Linked DNA regions of Canis lupus familiaris. The protein of the gene in region 5 interacts with the protein of the main gene of each other region in a pairwise test. Links are inferred from orthologs where the notes say so. Each region holds a gene or a part of one and is shown on either strand. Other genes may lie near its edges.

What was found.
Region 1: the proteins of APPL2 (region 5) and SUV39H2 interact in binary tests that used the Homo sapiens proteins (3 or more experiments, as listed by UniProt). The link is inferred for Canis lupus familiaris from reciprocal best matches to the Homo sapiens genes APPL2 and SUV39H2.
Region 2: the proteins of APPL2 (region 5) and RAB22A interact in binary tests that used the Homo sapiens proteins (3 or more experiments, as listed by UniProt). The two-hybrid records come from large-scale screens. The link is inferred for Canis lupus familiaris from reciprocal best matches to the Homo sapiens genes APPL2 and RAB22A.
Region 3: the proteins of APPL2 (region 5) and CRADD interact in binary tests that used the Homo sapiens proteins (3 or more experiments, as listed by UniProt). The two-hybrid records come from large-scale screens. The link is inferred for Canis lupus familiaris from reciprocal best matches to the Homo sapiens genes APPL2 and CRADD.
Region 4: the proteins of APPL2 (region 5) and RAB5C interact in binary tests that used the Homo sapiens proteins (3 or more experiments, as listed by UniProt). The two-hybrid records come from large-scale screens. The link is inferred for Canis lupus familiaris from reciprocal best matches to the Homo sapiens genes APPL2 and RAB5C.

Annotation. Positions count from the first base shown.
Region 1 is NC_049223.1:20,689,418-20,692,768, forward strand, and holds the end of SUV39H2 (histone-lysine N-methyltransferase SUV39H2), read right to left. Parts: intron 3,111-3,351; coding exon 3,004-3,110; 3' UTR 503-3,003; downstream 1-502. UniProt on the Homo sapiens protein: Histone methyltransferase that specifically trimethylates 'Lys-9' of histone H3 using monomethylated H3 'Lys-9' as substrate.
Region 2 is NC_049245.1:43,854,594-43,858,581, reverse strand, and holds the start of RAB22A (ras-related protein Rab-22A), read right to left. Parts: upstream 2,812-3,988; 5' UTR 2,792-2,811; coding exon 2,756-2,791; intron 1,796-2,755; coding exon 1,716-1,795; intron 1-1,715. UniProt on the Homo sapiens protein: Plays a role in endocytosis and intracellular protein transport. Mediates trafficking of TF from early endosomes to recycling endosomes. Required for NGF-mediated endocytosis of NTRK1, and subsequent neurite outgrowth.
Region 3 is NC_049236.1:34,343,216-34,347,478, reverse strand, and holds the end of CRADD (death domain-containing protein CRADD), read right to left. Parts: intron 1,112-4,263; coding exon 810-1,111; 3' UTR 504-809; downstream 1-503. UniProt on the Homo sapiens protein: Adapter protein that associates with PIDD1 and the caspase CASP2 to form the PIDDosome, a complex that activates CASP2 and triggers apoptosis.
Region 4 is NC_049230.1:20,627,588-20,631,558, reverse strand, and holds the start of RAB5C (ras-related protein Rab-5C), read right to left. Parts: upstream 2,806-3,971; 5' UTR 2,793-2,805; intron 1-2,792. UniProt on the Homo sapiens protein: The small GTPases Rab are key regulators of intracellular membrane trafficking, from the formation of transport vesicles to their fusion with membranes.
Region 5 is NC_049231.1:34,245,008-34,249,131, reverse strand, and holds the start of APPL2 (DCC-interacting protein 13-beta), read right to left. Parts: upstream 2,806-4,124; 5' UTR 2,678-2,805; coding exon 2,624-2,677; intron 1-2,623. UniProt on the Homo sapiens protein: Multifunctional adapter protein that binds to various membrane receptors, nuclear factors and signaling proteins to regulate many processes, such as cell proliferation, immune response, endosomal trafficking and cell metabolism.

The DNA.
Region 1 (3,351 bases), on a different chromosome or scaffold from region 5:
TGAGGTAGAGAAATTATTCTCCCCATTCAAAAATGAGGCTAAGGCACAGAGAGGTTAGTTCACACAGCCGGGAGGGGGTAAAGCCAGGAATGAAAATGCTGGCAACTCAAGCTCCAGAGTCCATGCTCTTAGCCACCATGCAATAATGCCTCTCAAAAAGAGCACAGGAGGAAGCAGGATTAATTATAGTGACTACTTGATTTTTACTTTAAGAACTGTAAAGTATAAAAGAATAAGTGAAAAAAAGTTTCAAAATGCCAAGATACAGCCCAGATGCTAGCCACATTTGCCTTAGGAATCCAAGAGTTACATGTTTGTTGAAACTAAAAGTATAAAATTGAGTGCATTATAGTCAGGTGTTACTGGCCCCAAGCTGGGTGATCTATGGGTGTGTTAATCTTATCTACCCGTCTAGACCCTTTCCTTTGCTGTGCTATAGGGCCAAGAGCACCAGACTCACAGGCTTAGGAGAAGCACAAGAGCACATATAAAGAGCCTAAGACTTGCTCAAAGAATGGAAGCTTTATGTTAAATTTCCTGGTGACTAATAATACTCAAAAAATTTTACAAGTATCTATCCATATCCATTTTATGCTATGTAAAATTCTACTCTAATATTTAAATGGATCAACCATGACTGACAAACTTCTTAAAAGGCAAATAACATTTAAGGGAATAGTATAAAAACCTCTGGTTAATTTCAAAAGAAGTAGGCAGGAATATACTGGTGTTTTTGGCCCTTTTGTAGCCTTACTGGAAAAGACAGTAAAATATTCAGAAACAAAGCTAACCTACAATAAATAGAAAATCAAATGCCAAACTAAATTTATTTGGCTAAAGAAAAGTGAACTGTAAGAAAAATAAGTGCAGTCTAGATTTTGCACATAGAGGGAAAAGACCCTGAGATTACCAATTGTGTATCGCGATCCTTATATAGATACTGAAAACAACGGTATTAGTAAAACTCAGACTGGATTAATTTACAGTTTAAACTTGATCTAAATATTACCCTTGAATTTTGGCTATACTTATACTGAAGGGACAAATTCTGACAAAACTAAAGAAGCTAAATGTTGACAAAATAGTTAAAAGCTTCTAACAGTTTCATGTAGAGGGTTTCTAGTTTACTAAGTCCAACTTTTTAATAAAGTAAGGGTAACAGGTCATTAAAATCTCAAAGATCCATTAAATTTCTAGTAATAAAGACAAAATGAAACAAATTTACTGAAAATAGCCATTTTCCCTTTGCCCTCCTGTTTTACATTTTTTTTAACCACAAAAAGTAGACAAGATTAACTGGATAGTACAACTGACTTTTTAAGAAGAATATTAAAATTATATCTTTAAACCTGTTGAAGAATTATAATTCAAAGTAAGCTTGGCCATTGGAGCATTATAAATCTGTGATGTTCTCACCACTGAAACCATGTGACTAATTTCTCATTAAAAAAACACTAAGAAATGGCACTAAAAAAAAAAATGTATTTTTCCTTGACACCTTCTGCAGATTTTGGTTAATACACTGAGACTCCAAACATGTAAAAAAAATTTACCGTATATTATAAAAGAGCAAAATCATGTGGTAGCTATAAAAATATAATGCATAAAGAAACACAGCTTCTCCCAAAAAAGAGGTTAAGAATTTAGAAGATATTGGAAGTGCTGCATTTGAGGTCCATTCAATTTTACCCACTTATTTTAGGGTCATTAAAGCAACAGGGCAATGAGCTTAGGTATAATTTAATTAGGAATACTGAAAGCCAGATTTACTTGCTGCGTTTACCTTCATGCTGGACACCATGATTACAAATCCCACAATCACAGAAATGAAAACACATTTTTTCCTGATTGATGTTTTACTATGCAGGAAAACAAAACAAAAACCAAACAAGGAATATATTCCATTTCAGTCTTCATGGTTCAAGTAAAAAAAGTTCTCATAACTCAGGTACACACTTTGTCCAACCCAAGTTTTAGCTTTATCATATTTTAAAAATTCATGTATAAAAAATAAGTATCAGTTCAAAATATAGATTATTTTAAGAGACTGCAGAAAATATAAAAATAATTAAGTTTGGTGGAAATGTTAAAACTGCCTGAAATTCAGAAGATGTATCATATGAAACATTATTGTTAGGTACAACTGCACTCAGGGCTATCTTGTTTTATTATTTATGTTTAGACCAGAAGTACTCAACATGGATCTCTTAATTTACGTTACTAAGAGGGGCCCTTAAAGTGCTCCATTTCCTCTGCCTGGCACTCCCCAAAACTCTCCTGGTCCCACTGCCCCCATCCTTCAAAGCAGCATAATGGGCAGCCATTCTAGAATTTTAGAGCTTTTTTTGGAAATTATTCCTTTAAGGGATTAAAAATCTTTAAGAATTACTGGTTCAGATATACATGCCTCAGAACAGTCTAGATTGTTTCAAAATATGAAATCAAACTGTATTTAAACTTTTATATTTAATTTAGACCTTAAATTTATCATTAAAATCCAGTATTTTGATGAAAGTAGGAAAATAGAATAATTCAGTATCACCTGTTTGTCTCAAATACAAGTACAGTGAGTAATAATGGGAATGACAACATAACAGAAATAGCACTTGTATATATTTGCCCAAATTGAATTAACTCTCTAAATTCAAGGTGTATGGCAGGTTGAATATTTGATCTTAGTGACTTACACTACTAGTTTGCTTAAACACTGAAGGAGGCATTTTTCTCTAGTCTTTTTATGTATGCATATGCTCATCTATAAATAGTTTTCCCTTCATGTTTAGTATCTAATCACTAAATATGTATATCTCAAATTAGTCTATGTGACCCTGTGTTCTTCTCTTCAGAAGCATCACTAATACATTTGGCCAATAGTTTGAAACATGAACTGTAATTAACATAGCATATAATCTTGACAATCTGAAAAGAGTCCCAAATACTTTTTTGAAATGTTAACATTAAAAAAAAACAAAACTACAATTGTCAGCTCTATTTCCTGAAAATTCAGTTGAGGTAACCTCTGCAAGTCACAGCTCCACACTTGCACACAGTTCTGACCCTCTTTTTGGCTGGGCTGTGGTCAACAGAATCTGAAGATATATCTCCAGAACCTGATCACATAGAAAAAGAAATACAGAAGAGTTAAGACAATTCAGAAGGAAGTTCAAATTTTCTATCAGTTTTAAGTAAATGTGAATATTCAGAGACAAATCATTATGAATTATCTTTTGAAAGGATGGTGTGAGCTAGTAAGAGATAAACACATATGCTATTAGCCCATATTAATAAGACTAGCTTGGAAATGATGGAACTTACTGGGAAAAATCCAATACATAATCACTCAATTTCACA
Region 2 (3,988 bases), on a different chromosome or scaffold from region 5:
ATGGTATTGTTTTAGTAAGGCAGGTAAAAGTGGAGCATGTTTGTAGGCGGTGACAAGAAAGCAAGGCAGGGGAAGAAAGGGAGAACTGGTGAGGAGGGCCCTCCAGAGCTCAGGTGTGTGAGGAGTCAGGCACAGAGGAGGAACACACTCGCTTTGGCTGAGAAAAAAGGAACAAGGAAAAGTGGAAGGAAACTCGGGGAACACCTCATCTTCCTCCTTCCTGTGAAATGTGAGCCAAGAACACCCGGCAAAGAGGGTGGGACTCCAGGTGAGAAACTATAAGCATCTGTCAGAATGGGAGGGCTGGCAAATGGGTGCATGGACACCCCAGACAGGGCTGCGGGCCTGTCAGCCTCACTGCTACCGGAGCTAGACCCCTCCCTGTCCTCTGGCTGTCTCTGAGAGAGCGCTTTTAACCAAAGTGGTGTTTGCGTCTTGCAGAGCTGTGTTTTCCGCTCAGACCCAGTGTGAAAGGTGTTACTCACTGAGTCACCAGCACTACCTGCTATCACTTCCTGTCACTTCTCTTTCCCAGGCAGGTAGCAACAGGCAGGCCCTGAGGCGGATGAGGTCACGTTTTAAACATGTGCACATACCCAGTTCTTTCTTGAAGGATATCAAAAGGCATTTTAATTTCAGAAATTTAGTAAGTAGGGGTTTCATCCCCATGCCTTTGAATGCGTATGTCGTAAAACATTTCTGTACTGGGCAGAATTGGATTTTTCTTTAAATGGGAGAAACCATTTGATTGGAGGGGGGTGCGCAATAAAAAATAGCATAGCATCGATTTAATTTTGCAAGCCTAACATAGTATTAAAACCTATAAAACACAACTTCTCACAAGGTAAGTCATTAATATTACTGTATCTAAATACCCTGAGAAGTTTTCTGAGTGAAAAACCTACAACAGCCAGTTTCACGTATATCCAAAGTAACAGACACCTGGAAAACGCTGACAATTCAACATTAATTTATTAATTCGCTATTACTATTAGTGTAGGCAGGTTATGAGAGGGGTTCAGATAGGTAGCAGCAGTGACAGGGCCTCAGCCCCGTCCTGGGCATCCACATCTCCGTCTGCCGGCCCTCCCGGTCTGACATGTGTCCTGTTTCTCAGGAGGAACTAAAACCATCTAAATAACGTTTTAGTTGGTATGCCTGCAAGAACAGTATCAGGACCTGTCACCTTCTGCTTTGTTTCAAGATGTGACTGCCGCTGGTATTTTTATTTATGGACTGACCAACGTTCTACTAAGCAGCGCTTCCATTCCTATTTTTTAAAATTAATTAATTAACTAATTAATTAATTAATGATAGAGAGAGAGAGAGGCAGAGACACAGGAGGAAGAAGCAGGCTCCATGCCGAGAGCCTGGTGGGACTCGATCTCGGGACTCCAGGATCGCGCCCTGGGCCAAAGGCAGGCGCCAAACCGCTGATCCACCCGGGGATCCCCTCCATTCCTATTTTTATTTTGAAGTTTCCCCTTCACCAATCAAAAGGTGACTTTCCCAAAACACATCAATCCCCACTGCACGCTTCCAAGTCCTTCCAGGGACGATGGAAAGGAAACTGCGGGCCTGGGAAATGCACTGAGAATGGCGATGCCTCCCCACTCCCAGGAACACACCTTTTTTTTTTTTTTTTTTTTTTTTTTAATTTGGAAGGGCTTCCGGGACACCTTCAGAGACAGACTCAATAAACTTAAATCTCTTACCCTATCGTCGGGTTGATGTTTGGATCAAAACTGTCTTCCACGAACCGCCACACGATGCTCGATTTACCTACGCCCGTATCCTGGAAAAGAAGGAGGCGGGTAAACACAAATAAGTTCACCTGCTTGCAGACGGAGAACACCGCTTCGGGGCCTTGGGCTCGCTCGGCATCTCGCAGACATCAATTCGGGCGCGGGTCTTCAGGACGTCAAGGGGCGCAGGGTGTTTGTAAACATTCAGTGGGAGGGAGGGGGTTTCGAGATGTACTTAACTGTAGGACGGGGAGGGTGGGGGCGGGGAATGTCTTGCAGTTTTTACCGGGACACCAGAACCTTTTGAGAAGCCCAAAGTTTGTGCTCGGCGTGATAAAGCCACAAACTCACTTTCTGACACGTGGAGGTAGACTATGAACTCCTGAAATTACTCGAGCGATCCCTGATAGGGTCACAGCCCCGCCCTACTTGGGAAGGGGTGTTGGTGCTGGTGCTGCTGGTGCTGGACTAGTTACTGGGATCCCTTTCGGCCTCTAAAGCAGCCACTCAGGCAAAAGAGCCCCAACTCCACAGGGCGTGACCTGAGGGCGCCAAGATGCTCCGTCGAGGCAGGAAGCTGAAGCTTCCAACTCGTTTTTTTTTTTTTTGGGGGGGGGGGGCTTCCTGATTTGAACGTGCCCCTCCCCCCGCCCCCCCCCCCCCGAGAAAGTAACTCAGTGAGAAGCGTCCCCGAGCGTGTCCCACAAACTCCGAACAGACGAGAAAAGGAGACGAACTCTGCTTGCAAAAGCCGCACGAGGAAGACCGGCGGCGGGGCCGCACTTCGGGGCGACTCGGCCAACGTGCACCGAGCCCGCCGGCGGGAAGCCGTCGGGGGCCTCGCCGTCCGCGGGTCGGGTCCCCCCCGCAGGGCCGGGACGAGGTGGCAGGACCGCCCCGCGGGCCGCGGCGGGGGAGGGGGCGCAGGGGACGAGGGCGCGCCTGGGGCCCCGGCCTGCCCGGCCTGCCCGGCCTCCCGCGGCCCTCCCGGCCGGCCCGCCGCCACTCACCCCCAGCAGGCACACTTTGAGCTCCCTCAGCGCCATGGCCCGGGAGCCAGGGGCGCGGGCCCGCCGCCGCCCTAAGTTGAGGAGGGAGAGGCCGGGCCCAGCACGAGCATCCCCCGGCGCCGCCGCCGCACGGCTCGGCCCCGGCCGCGGGGCGCGCAGAGGCGGCGGCTGCCCGCTCGCCAGCCCTCGGCCCGGCCCGTCCGTCGCCAGCCGCGCGCGCGAGGGGCCCGCCTCAGCAGCCGGGACGCTGCCTCGGCCTCCCGGGCGCCGCCGCCGCCGCCGCCATCTTGGGACGCTGGCCGGGTCACCTGACCTCCCCGCCCACCTCGGCAGCCACCTTCGCCGCGAGGCTCGCGGGGCGGGGCCTGCCCGAGGGGGCGGGGCGAGGGCCGGAGGCCCCGCCCCTCGCCCGCCGGCCCCGCCCCCCGCGCGGACCCCGCCTCCTGGCCCATCCCAAGATGGCGGGGGAGTGGGGTTGGCTCCCCGGGCGCAGGGGCGGGAGAGCGGGGAGGGGCCTGCCCGGGGGGCGGGGCTGGGAGCCCGAGGCCCCGCCCCCTCGCCCCACGGGCCCCGCCCCCCGCGCGGACCCCGCCTCCTGGCCCATCCCAAGATGGCGGGTGAGTGGGGTTGGCTCCCGGGGCGCAGGGGCGGGGGAGCGGGGAGGGGGGGTCGGAGGGGGCGGGGGCCCCCCGTCGAGGCCGCGGCCCCCTCCTTGTGTGTAACTCCTGTGTGTTTCTCGGTTTTCAGAGATCCCCCTGTACTTTGTGGACTTGCACGATGACTTAGACGATTGTAAGTAGCAGTTGGGGGGCCCCCGCCCCTCCCCGGGAACCTCTCACGGGGCTCGGGGTGCGCGGAACGCTGCGGGCGGGGGCGGCTGCGGGCCAGGCCCCTCCTGTCGGGACCGAGGAGCGGGACCCCGACCGCCCGGAGGATGCACTTGTGGCGGTGCCTCCTCGCGGGGCGGGGCGGGCCGGGGATGGGGAGCCCTCCCCTCCTCCCCTCCTCCCCTTCTCCGGGAGGATCTGGGTCGTTGGGAAACTTCTGACTTCCGGTCACTTTGTGTCTCTTCCTCGTCGTGCTCCGGCCGCGGCCCCCGGGGGGTCGGGAGGGGCGGGAGGGTCGTCCCGGGGCCTGGTGGTGGCTCCGCGGCCGCCGCGGGGTTGGGGAGACTTCCACCCGGGCTCTCCGCGTTTCCCCAGGGCGTTCCGGGGTCTGGAGGTGCGGGCCCTG
Region 3 (4,263 bases), on a different chromosome or scaffold from region 5:
CCTCCTTTGTTCCCCAAATAAATTCTTTAAATAAACGGCACAGGATTTTCTTAAGCAATCTTTTAAAGATGAAGGGCTCAGGTATGCATGCTGGTACTTGAACTGGTCTTGCAGGGAGCCTCACTGTCTTGAATTTAATGTAGACACCCTGCCTGAGCAATTTATCTTAACTAGAGAAAATAACCATTTTGTTATTACTAGTAATTCTGTTTCAAAAAAATAACTACGTTATTTGACACTACCATTTTGTTATTACTAGTAATTCTGTTTCAAAAAAATAACTACGTTATTTGACACTCTTAATCTATGCACTACAGGAATGAGAAAAAACAAACAATCCTATGTGACGAAAGGGCCATATTATATGTAGCAAATTAACTTTTTATGATCATCCCCATTAATAGCAAAATCCATAGGTCAGTTCCCAAGCAATATAGAAGTGCATGCTTTATATACAGGACACCTACATGTAATGTGATAACACAGTAATTTTTTTTGAGCCATTATGATTTACCAGTTTATTAAAAGGCACCCACACAATTAAAAACCTGCACAATTAAAACAATGCAATCTTTAAGCAGTTAAAAACAATGAATTGTCAAGTCAATGTGGGAGAGCTACTGAGTAATCTGACCTTTCAAGTAATGTATACCAGAAATCCTATTTTCTCCTTTCATCTAAAGTTCATTAAAAAGAAAAGACCCCCAAAACCCCCCCAAACCACCTGCCCTTGGAGAAAGTTAAGATTCTGCACACACAACTTGGGGACACACTCCCCCAACCACAGGATGACGTGGAGCATGCAGGGGTCATTCCAACATGTCCTGGAGCACCGAGGGGTCTACCTCCACAGCCTGGAGGCCTCTGTATAAGCTCCAGAAGGTGGCCTGCTTCCCATAGCGCTGCCTCCAGCGGATGAAGGCCTCCACCATCTGCGACTGCACGTTGTGGGGGTGGTTGGCCTTACAGCGGTAGATATCTGTCTGGGACAGTCCCAGAGCCAGCACCACAGGCTCCCACTCAGGGCCCAGCCTCTGGGCCAGCTGGTTAATCTGCCGGTCCGATGGTGAGCTGTTGAGGATGTGCGGGGGGAAACCAGTCATCCAGTCATCTGGGAAAAAGAAAGATACGAGGGTGAAAAGAGCAAACAAACACATCAGATGGGGGCAGAAATGGAAATTGTGGGGAGAAGAGCACAAAGCTTCATATGGTAGGGCCAACTTTTCCTAGTCTTCTTGGGGGCTGCTCAGTAAAAGGTCACATACAGGAGCTTACAAAATACCATTTAGCATCTTTGGAAATGTTTATTACAGAAAATGTGAAAACAAGAAAATAAAAATAACTGGGAACCCCACAAGAGAAACTTAGTGATAACAATTTGATTTTGTCTTTTATGTATAAAACATATGTTTGGCATTATATGGCACAGCTTTATAACATGCTTTTCTCACTATCATCTCTTTCAACAGAGAGGCCAGGCAGGGGGTTCCAAGAGAATGAAGAATGACAGCCTGGGCCCCAGTTCCCTCTGGCACTGGGGTGGCGCTCTCTCCTGCAGGAATGGCTAGTGCTGGAAGATAATGGGCTAACCAGGACAGCTACTCTCTGCTGATAAACTCGAACATTACCAAGAAATGCTGCAGTCTCTAACAGAAGCAGAACCAAAGAGGCCTGATGAGAAAAAATGAAACTCAGAGGCCATGAGGTAGCAGGATGAGAGTTACCACCCTGGGCCCAGCAAAGGGAGAGACAGCACATGCTGTAGAAGGGCAATGAGGGAACCTGACCTTGCACTTTCTAGATCCCAGTCTCCCCGAGGCCAGTCTGCTGAGGAACCATGACACTGAGTGACTGCCTACAGATGTGCCAGGCATATCCAGTAAGAAGTACCATCAGTTACAATGCAGACAGCCTTCTAGAGGAAGGAGGTTAAAGCTAAACCCTGAATGTGAGAAAGAATCCAATGAATGGAAAGGTAAGGAAGCATGCCCTCAGCAAAGGAAATTGCCTGTGCAAAGGCCTGGAAGCAGAAGATCACAGCAAATTCAAGAAAAGAAAGAAGTTCAGGGATCCCTGGGTGGCTCTGCAGTTTAGCGCCTGCCTTCAGCCCAGGGCGTGATCCTGGAGTCCCCGGATCGAGATCCACATCGGGCTCCCTGCACGGAGCCTGCTTCTCCCTCTGCCTGTGTCTCCGCCTCTCTCTCTCTGTCTGTCTCTCTCTCTCTCTCTTTCTCTCTCTCTCGTGAATAAATAAAATCTTTTTTTTTTTTTTTTTAAAGAAGTTCAGTGTAGCAAAAGTGCAGAGATTGAGAAGGACGCTAAACATTCAAAATTCTGGTGCTGCTTATTGGTTAGGCCAGAACTAGAAGTGAGGTTTTCATACTCCTGGTACAGTCATGTGTACAACAGCACTACACTTGTGCTACATTCTCTGTCACCAGCATCATGGGAATCCGCGTCAATCCCACTTCACACTCAGCAGCTCATTGTTTAGACTTATGAATTCAATAAGAAGGCAAAAAGCACCCGATCGGAATAGCTGTTTTCACTGTACGTGCCTTTTATCCCAAAGCAGTTGCAAATATCTTAGGCACAAGTTTAAAAAATACTGACAAGGGTTCTTTCTGGTGTTTGTCAAGACTGTAATTTTTAAAAAATGATTAGGAAACAACTGAAATAATGATGCTACTACTGACCAATATTTTATATTGACAGTAATGATTTTATGGCTTGTATAAAAATATGGGCACTTTTATGCAGGTTCATTAAAAAATTCAAGCAACATAAAAAAGTACAAAAGAAAAAACAAGTTATCCAATATGTACTTAGAGTCGGTGAATATCATTCTGGACATCTCTTCATGCACGTATTCTGTATTAATTGCTTTTTTTCTCATAAGGGTTATTTAATTTTGTTTGAATATAACAGGAAAAAAAAAAAAGAAACAGATGGGGTACTAAATGGCTTTCTGACCTATAGTTAAATATTCAAACACCACCACCAAAACACACGCACACACACACACGATTTAATGCCAATAAAAAATATATGAAAATTTAAGACATAAACCATGTATTTTCACATTAACACTCTATAATTAACACTTGACATTTCCTCTTCCTTTCCTCGTATCTCATGATTTTTCTTGCCTATATCATTTTTGTTTGTCTGTTTTTTTAGCAAGAAGAGAATGCATGCATGCGAGCAGGGGGCAGGAGGCAGAGAAGGGGAGAGAGAAAGCTTTAGATCAGGATAGGTCTTGGTCATTCTCTATCTGTTTTCAAGATGATCTTCTGACCAAAGACTTAGCTCTTCCTCTCTTTCAGAAAAATTTTCCTGGGTTGTATTTCTGCATTCTTTTTCTGTTCCAGATGCTGGATGCCTTTCCCCATCACCATGACTATCATTTTCTGCTTTATTACTTTACTCCTTTCCTGTGATCATCTCATGCCTTTTTCTATTCATTTGATGGTTATGCTTATGCTGTTTTTTTTTTTTTTTCCTGGTCAAATCTCATATTATAAGGGTTTTGTTTCCCTCAAATTCTTTTCTTGGCTCTTCAATCTTTTTTTTTAAGATTTATTCATTTATTTTTTTAGAGAGAGCAGGAGGGGCAGCGGGAGACGGAGAGAATCCCAAGCTGACTCCCTCTGAGCACAGAGCCCAATGTGGCTTGATCTCACAACCTTGAGATCATGACCTGAACCAAAATCAATAGTCAGATGCTTACCAACTGGGCCACGCTGGCACCCCTCTTCAGTCTATCTTTTAAAACTCCCATTCCAACTCAGATCTATTAGGATGGCTACTGTCAAAAAACTCCAGAAAATAACAGGTGTTGGTGAGGATATAAAATGGCATGGCTGCTACAGAAGAGTATGGTGACTCCTCAAACAACTAAAAATGGAATTATCATATGACCTAGCAATTCTACTTCTGGGCCATATACCCAAAAGGATTGAAGCAGTGATTCAAAGAGATATTTCTATACCCATCTTCATAGCAGCACTATTTCCAGTAGCCAAAAAGTGGAAGCAACCCAGGTGTCTATCAAGGGATGGAAGAGAAACAAAATGTGGTATACTATACATTAGAATATTATTCAGTCTTATACAAACCTGTGATCATAAAGACAGTATGGTACTGGCACAAAAAGAGACACATAGATCAATGGAACAGAATAGAGAACCCAGAAACGGACCCTCAACTCTATGGTCAACTAATATTCAACAAAGCAGGAAAGAATATCCTACTGGAAAAAGG
Region 4 (3,971 bases), on a different chromosome or scaffold from region 5:
GCCAATTGTCAGGCCCTGAAGAGTACTGAGCTGGGACTCCTAACTGCCATGGTCCCCAGAGGCAGAGGAGATGGGGATCCAGGATGATGGCAGGACAGAGTGGGGGTGGGGAAGTAAATGGAAGCAGAGGGGCATCAAGGATGAGGGATGCTTAAGGGTCTCTGCACTGGGGCCTCTGCTTGCTCACTTTGCATGCTCATTCCTTAAACAGACCCAAGAAGGGACCACTCTTAGGGAAGATGAGGCACATCAAATCCCAAATCCCAAACCTCAACTCCACCACTTTCTAACTGGATGATCTAAGGCTAGCTACTTAAATTCCTTCAGCCTCATCTCTAAAACGGAGATACAAATCCCACTATCTCCCAGGACTCTTGTGAGGAACAGGTGTGAAAATATAATATTGTTTCCTGTGAGAAACATGTGTGAAAAAACTGCAACTTTGGCTGCCCAGGTGGGTCAGTCAGGTTCAGCCTCTGCCTTGGCTCAGGTCGTGATCCCGGGGTCCTGGCATAGAGTCCCACACCAGGCTCTCTGCTCTGAGGGGAGCCTGCTTCTCCCTGTCTCTGCCTCCCCCACCCTGCCCCGCCTCTCATGAATAAATACAATCTTTAAAAGAAAAAAACTGCAACTTTAAAGTGATTTCTAAAAATCAGTTGTTACCACCTCTCTGTTGTATGAAGGCAGGAAAAGGCCAACTAGTTGGAAGAGGCAAGAGAGGAGAGGCTTCTGTCTCACACAGAGCCCTCCCTCTTTCTGCCAAGTAACATCAGAGCTCTGCTTGGACTCTACAATCTCTGGATGCCAGAAGTGGCAGCCTAACTACCTAACTACCGGGGCAATGATGCCTTCCATGTCTCTCTGAAAACAAGAGCTTCTCCTTCAAAAAACCTGTTTTAGAATCCTAGCTGGGAGAGCATGTCCAGACAAAGACGGTCCCCTCAGAAGGCTGGCAGCCTCATCCTGGGACTCCCAAAGAGTTCCAGAAACCACAGCCCACTACCGAGGAGGTAAGTCTGGTCAGAGACCAGTGGCCAGTGAGCAGAGAGGCTTCTCTGGTCTGTCCCTCAGAGGCACAGGCTGACCAGATTAGAGAAACTAAGCTGGCCGCAGAAGTCTCCAACGACTTTCCAAAGAAGACCACACAGATAGAGAGCTTGTGATCCAACCACTGATCCTAATAAGGTAGGCTTTCTTGTTGTCCAATAAAAAATGAAATGAGTACAACCCAGGTCTAGCTCAAAAGTTTGTAGGAGTTGGACCCTGGTGACTGTCCACAAGAAGTCAAAAAGATCCCAAGACAAAAAATGTTTAGCACCTGTAAGGACAGTAAAGATGGCCCGAAACACTGAAGAGCTACTGAAATTCCCAAAGGCTGCATGGCCTCTCCTCCCTCCCTTGGCTGTAGATAGCAAGGGTCAGTCATGGCCTCAAAGAGTCAGGCTACTCTCATTAAGGTATAGTCTCTGGCCTGTACTTTGGCCACATAACAAAACCTGCGAACCTGGTCTGAGACAACAGCCATTTCACACACCTAAGTCCCAAGCAACAGACAAGGATCAGATGTCAGCACAGGCTGCCTCTTGGAAAGGCTGGAGGGGGGGCAGGGGGCGCGGGCGGGGCGGATGTCAGCACTTTCCAGCATACATGAGAATTCCTTGGGCTACAAAAATTAACACATTAAGAACCCAGAGGTGCCACTGTGGTCTCAATTCACTTCTCTGTAATCTATAATCTGTTCAAGCCTCCCGGAAGGGACTGGAGAGAGGCCCTGGGACTAGAAGTGGCAGAGACCTGTTGATCAAGGAGAGGGGTATGTGTGTCTGAGAGTGGGAATGAGATAGGCCAGGACCCTTCACTTCCACAGTCCTTATTTCTGGTCTTTCCCCTATTCCCTAAAGACCAGCAGACAGCAGTCCCAGGAGGAGCAGTCCCTCTGAAGCAGCTTGGAAACCACTCACGTGCTCTGGGAGGACAGGGCTGAGCCTGGAGCAAGGGGGAGGGGGAGAGGAGGGGAGAGAGAAGATAATGAATGGGCAGATCCACCATGATCTGTGATCTGTAGCTAGGATTAAGCAAACCTCAGCTAAATTTTTCAGAGGCAGGAAGAGAGATAGATACACTCAGAGAGCACAACTAGAGAACAACATAACCAGAGGACAGAGTTGGGGTGGAGGGGGCAAGATAAGGAGGCAACAGCTCATTCCTAAAAAGTGGCCTAGACTTTAAATCCTGCTGGGATCCTGGCTGGCTCCCTGGGCTTGAGGAAAGAGAGGAAGTGAGGAGTTGTGGGAGTCTGTGTGTGTGGAAGGCTCTCACCCAGGACCCCTCCGCCCCCACCCCGCCCCAGGAAATCGAGATAAAATTTCTCTAGGGCTGGAGGAGACAACTGTTTTTGTGGGACGGTTGGGGGGGGGGGGTGCGAGGAAAACGGCGACAGACAGCACTCCTCGCCGCCTCTATAGAGAAGGAAGACCGACTCCTTCACACCTAGCAAAGATTCCTCCAGTTCTGGGAGCAGAGAGAGCAGAATCTGTGGTCTCTGCCTCCCACAACTGGACTGGACAGGCCAGAGGAGAACCCTGGCGGCTTCCCAAGGCTCATAAAGGGCAGGTAAGGGAAGGAAAGGAGGGCCCCCCCTTTGGCCCGACGCCTGGGGAGCCCCTGAAGAGGGGGCTACGGGTCGGGGGAGGGGTCAGTATCCCCCTAAGCCGGGGTTGGGCGGGAGGAAGTGTTGCCCCGAACGGCCTCAACGCGAGCGAGACACTAGGCCCCGGGACAGGCACACTCACGGCGTCTCCGGGGCGGCGGCGTTACTTGGGGCCGGGGCTCGGACAGGCTCCGCTCCTCTCCCCCCGGCGGTGTCCCAGGCTCCGGCCTCCACTTCCGCCTTTCAGCCGCTCCGGATCCGGATCTCCACCTCAGACCCGCCCCTCAATACCAGATGACTGACAAGGTGGAGAGACCAATGGGAGGCACTCTTGGCCGACTCACCGGCGACGCCTTTGGGGGGCAAGGGAGAGGCGGGAGAGCGCGCGCGAGGGACGGCGGGACTTGTAGTTCTCAGCGCTGGGAGGAGCCGGTGGCCGCCTGGGACTTAGGCTTAGGGTGGAGCCGGCTGCCGGCGAGGCGGAGCTCGGCCGGGAACTTCTTAAAGCCAGGGCTGCCAACAGCGTCACCCTGGGTTCCAGGAGCCCCGAGGGGAGGCGGGTGGTGGGGCGCTGGAAGAGGGCAGAAGGCTGTGTGTGCAGAATTGGTTAAGGAAAAACATGGTGTGAATGAATGCACAGGAGGCCGCAGTCCTGAACACTGGCTAAACCCGAGAAGCCCCTGTCTGCACTTTCTCAGGCCAAGTCAGCTCCGGGAGCTCGACTATTGGGGACATTCTGCGATGGGGAAGGTGATGGAAGTGCTAATAGGAAGGGTTCTCGAGGTGTGGAGAGCTCCTGCCACTTGTCAGTCATAAACCAGGACCCTCCTCCTTTGGCCGGACACCAAGACTCCAGGATCACCTCTACCTCTGCCTCCCACACCTCCAGCCAGAATCAGCTCATGTCTCTGTTGCCAGAAACAGAGCCGGACCACTTCTGCTTTGACTCTCTCTCCATCCATAAACACAGATTAGAACGACTTCTGTTTGCCTCCCCCACCGTGACCTCCGTATGGATCAGGACTTTCTTTCTTTCTTTCTTTCTTTCTTTCTTTCTTTCTTTCTTTCTTTCTTTCTTTCTTTCTTTCTTTCTTTCTTTCTTTCTTTCTTTCTTTCTTTCTTCTTTCTTTCTTTCTTTCTTTCTTTCTTTCTTTCTTCTTTCTTCTTTCTTTCTTTCTTTCTTTTCTTTCTTTCTTTTTTTCTTTCTTTCTTTTTTTTTTTCTTTCCTCAATGTGGATTAGGACCACTTCTTGTCTCCGCCCACCCCCATCCCCCAACACAGACCGGTATCTCCTCTGCCTTTGTGTCCCACTCCCTGGAA
Region 5 (4,124 bases):
ATAACCAGAAATAATATGTGTATGCACAGACTAGTCTTCGACACACCATGCAGTACTAAAAAGGATGAAATGAATAGATGTGTCTAAGGGCGGTCAACTGCTATTCAGTTCTTCTTGGGTCATTGAGTTCAATTACAAAAGCTTTTGTGTTCACTTAATGAATCATGTGCAGGTTGCTGCAGCAACCCTCATAACTACTCTTCATAAAACTAGAAGAAACAAACAATAGATGGTTTCTTAGGATCTTTTCCTTTCAGTGAAACATTTTAGGTCCCCAATGATAGAAGGGTCAGGTGCCAGGTAGCTGGGCCAACTTGAACAAAATAGGCAGACTGCCTGGGTTCCAATCCTGGCTCTGCCACTGTCTGGTGTATAATCTTGGGCTGGCTATTCAACTTCTCTGCTTCTTGGTAATTTTAATAGGAGACCTACTTCAAAAGATTGATGGGAATATTAGGTGAGCTAATACAGGTAAAGGATTTAGAATAATGCCTGGTACATAAAATGCATGTGTGATATAGGTGTTTGCTGTTGTTTTTATTCTGTACACATAAAAGGAATTAGATCTGCTTTTCTCCACTTCCTAATCTATGAGTCTCCTCAGCAATAAGGCCGCTTTAGGCACACCCCCCATATAAGACTGCTAAATAAACACGTTCTGATGATTATCAAAGAACTTCTTGAAAGTTAGCTTCCTCTGAACAACCTATGAAAAATCCTAGTAGAGTGACACCAAGTCCCAACAGCAGTAACAAATTCCCTACATTAAGAGGAACATTATACAGGAATGGCAATGCCACTAAACTTCCTCTTCCACTTATGAGCTCAAAGTTATAAATCATGCAATATGATAGAATTTTAAGCTTTTAAAGCTCCTTATAAATCACCTGTTCCACATCCCTCATTCTGTAAATGAGAAAACTGAGTCAGCCACAGAATGAGAATAAGCGACTTGCCCCAATGACATGGTAGGTTGACATGAGCAAGAATTAGGATGCAGTTTTCCTGACTTGTTTGCCAGTCCTCTGCTTCCTCCCAGCTGAGAAAACCCTGCAAACCACTCAGAAAAATGGTACATATGCACTTATATGAGAGTCAGAAATGCAGAATGTGACCTATCAGCGAGGGCAGCATAGAAGAATCAGTGTTTTCTCTCTGACCTGGCTCGGCCAACACCACGATCAGTTAGGAAAGCAATATATCTGCACTTTTGGACTGTAAAGCAAACGGAAATCCTCGTTCAAAATGTTATCGTTAGAAGTTCTACATTATTATCTTCATATCTCACATAATGTGTGAGGTACAGACAAAAATACTTCTCCAAAGGGCTTCGGTCCCATTAAAATGCCACAAGTTTAGAGCCTTCAAAGAGGTCTTTAAAAAGTCGATCAGACCAGCGGATGCCAATTAGAAAAAGAAAAAAAAAAAAAGCCACAGCTTGCTCAAGTTTCTTACTTGCCTACCTAAGATCACAAAGAAATGGGCACAAGGCAACGAAGCACACAGTGCTCTGACACTTATTCTGAACCAGCAAGATGCAAAGTGAGTGTAGGTAAGTCCATCAAAAAATCATCCTAGGTGCACCTGGGTGGCTCAGCTGGTTAAGAGTCTGCCTTTGGCTCAGGTCATGATCTTGGTGTCCTGGGATCCAGACCCCTCCCGCTCCCTGCCCGGCGGGAGTCAGCTTCTCCCTCTGCCACTCCTCCTACTCTGCTCTTCTCTCCAGGTCGAACACATACATAAAATCTTAAAGAAAATAAAATACATTCCTCCCGGGAGTGCAATTTGCTAAGAAAAAGGAACCGAATAGAGATGGAAAACAGGTTAATCTCATTTGAATTTCTGAAGAGTTGAGACATCGCGGGCTAAAAAGACTTATGAATAACCCAGGGATACAGAACCAGGAGAGCTGATAGGAAGCCAAAGCCGGGGAAATGCTAATGGCGAACAGAAGTTCCCTGAAGAGAAGGGCATTGAATTATGAACTAATGTCATTCAGCACTCATCCGCTACATTTACACGGCAGCTCTCATCTGCAGAGCTCGAAGGGACTTAACTTTGGTCTCGCTAGTGAAATCCCTCCGTGCGACAGCGGGGCAGGTGCTGTCATATTCTCTTGACAAAACAGGAAAAGCGTGCGGAAGGGTCCCGCTGGGAAAGAGCTGGGCTCTCTGCCTCCCATCTTGGCCCTAAACCCACTAGGACCCATCGCATCAGTAGCAGCAGTAATAATACTAACGATGACAACTTCCATACAGGACGGTGCCCGCCAACAACTTTACTGGCATCCTGACAACTCCATGAGGCGGGTACAATTATTGTCCCCGGGTTACCGATGACAAAACTGCGGCACACAAAGGTCATTTGTCCGAGGCACTCAGCGGAGCGGTGGAGCCGGAGTTTAGGCCGGGCAGCGTCAGTGTCGGCTGACTCCGAAGGGGGTCACGGCACAAAGACTCGGGCGGCGGAGGGCTTTCTCGGGTTCTCTAGCCCCGCCTGAGGGGTGCCCCCTCCCGGCCCCCGGGCGGCCCCCTGCGTGCTCCCGGCCTCCACCCCCGGGCTCGAGGGGCCGCCCCGGCCTCCAGTCCCCGCCGGGCGAGAGCACCGGGGCGGCGGGAGGTACCTGGGGGCTGTCCTGCAACGCCTCCTCCAGCAGGAGCTTGTCCACGGCGGGCATGGCGGCGCGGGGCCGGACAGAAGGACGGAGTGCGGGACGCGCGGCCGCCAAGGGTGCTCCGGAATGAAGCTACGAGGCAGACGCTCCGTGCCTGCCGCGGCCCCGCGCGCGCCCACGCCTGGCCAGAGGCCGCCTCCCGCGCCCCGGCCCGCCCCCGGCCCGCCCCCGGCCCGCCCCCTCCCCGCCCCCGGCCCGCCCCCTCCCCCGCCCAGCCCTCCGCGGAGCCGGATCAACAGGAAGTGTGGCGAGCGCGCGGCCGCGCCGCCGGAAGTGTGGCGGCCTCGCTTCCGCCGCGCCGCACCGCGCCTCGCGGGACCCGGCCGAGCCTAGCGCCGGCCTCGCGGTTCAGGGGTCGCGGGAGGTGTCAAGGTGTTCAGCGACGTAGTCGGGTGCGTGGCGCTGGTCGCGGCTTATTAAAGCCCCAAACGGGGAACTCGAGGGCGGAACGATAAGGTTTTATCTACTTGGCACCTACTCGGGAGACTTTCGATTGGAAGGACTTAGGGGCGAACAGGTGTTTGCCGCTGTGACCCTCGCCACTTCCTGAACGGGAGGGAAGAGCCGGCACTTGCCACACCACCTTTTCTAGATAAATCCCAGTGCCCCGTGACCTCTCGCAGCGCAGAGGTCACCTAATTGTAGAGGAGGAAAAATAAAAAAGGATAGTTGAATCACCTGCGTGCGCCGTTCTTCCGATGTAGGCATTGTGGAAACCAGAGCTCTAGGATTGGAGCGGTAGAATCGGACCTCGTCCTCAGGGTTGGCTGTGTTTTCTCATTTGGAAAATTGATCAAGCTGCTGTTTAGAGCTGGAAGGCATCCATCATCTAGTTCAGTTGTTCTCATTTAGAGGTAAGAAAACGGCCCCCAGAGTGAGGGACTTGGTCAGGGTCACACAAGGAAAGGTGGAGGAAGAGGAGGGAGGAGGGGGGAGCCCTGGGGGAGTACCTGCAAATGGACCGTGAGGTCTTCTTATATCAAAGGCAGGGGTTCAGAAGCCCCTTCCTTAGGAATCCGTAAGATTCATCCAGTAGAGGGGCGTCTGGGAGGCTCAGGGGTTGGGCGTCTTCCTTTGGCTCAAGGTCCTGGGATGGAGTCCCTCATCGGGCTTTCCTGCGGAGAACCTGCTTCTCCCTCTGCCTGTATCTCTGCCTCTCTCTATGTCTCTCATGAATAAATAAAATCTTAAAAAAAAAAATTTTATCCAGTAGAACACATTAGCAGAATCAACAGGCAGGATAGGATAACATTAGATGCTATAGAAACACCGAGGTGTTTAAGGTACAGGCTGAGTTCCAAACACCTCTGAAATTCTGATGGCAGGCTGCCTGGTCACTTGGAGACTCCAGGGCCATTATTCCCAGTTGGCTGTAGCCAGCACCAGCCTTTCCTGAGCCATCGTATGGCCTCCATAGGAAAATCATCCAGCATCCTTTTCCCTACTATAT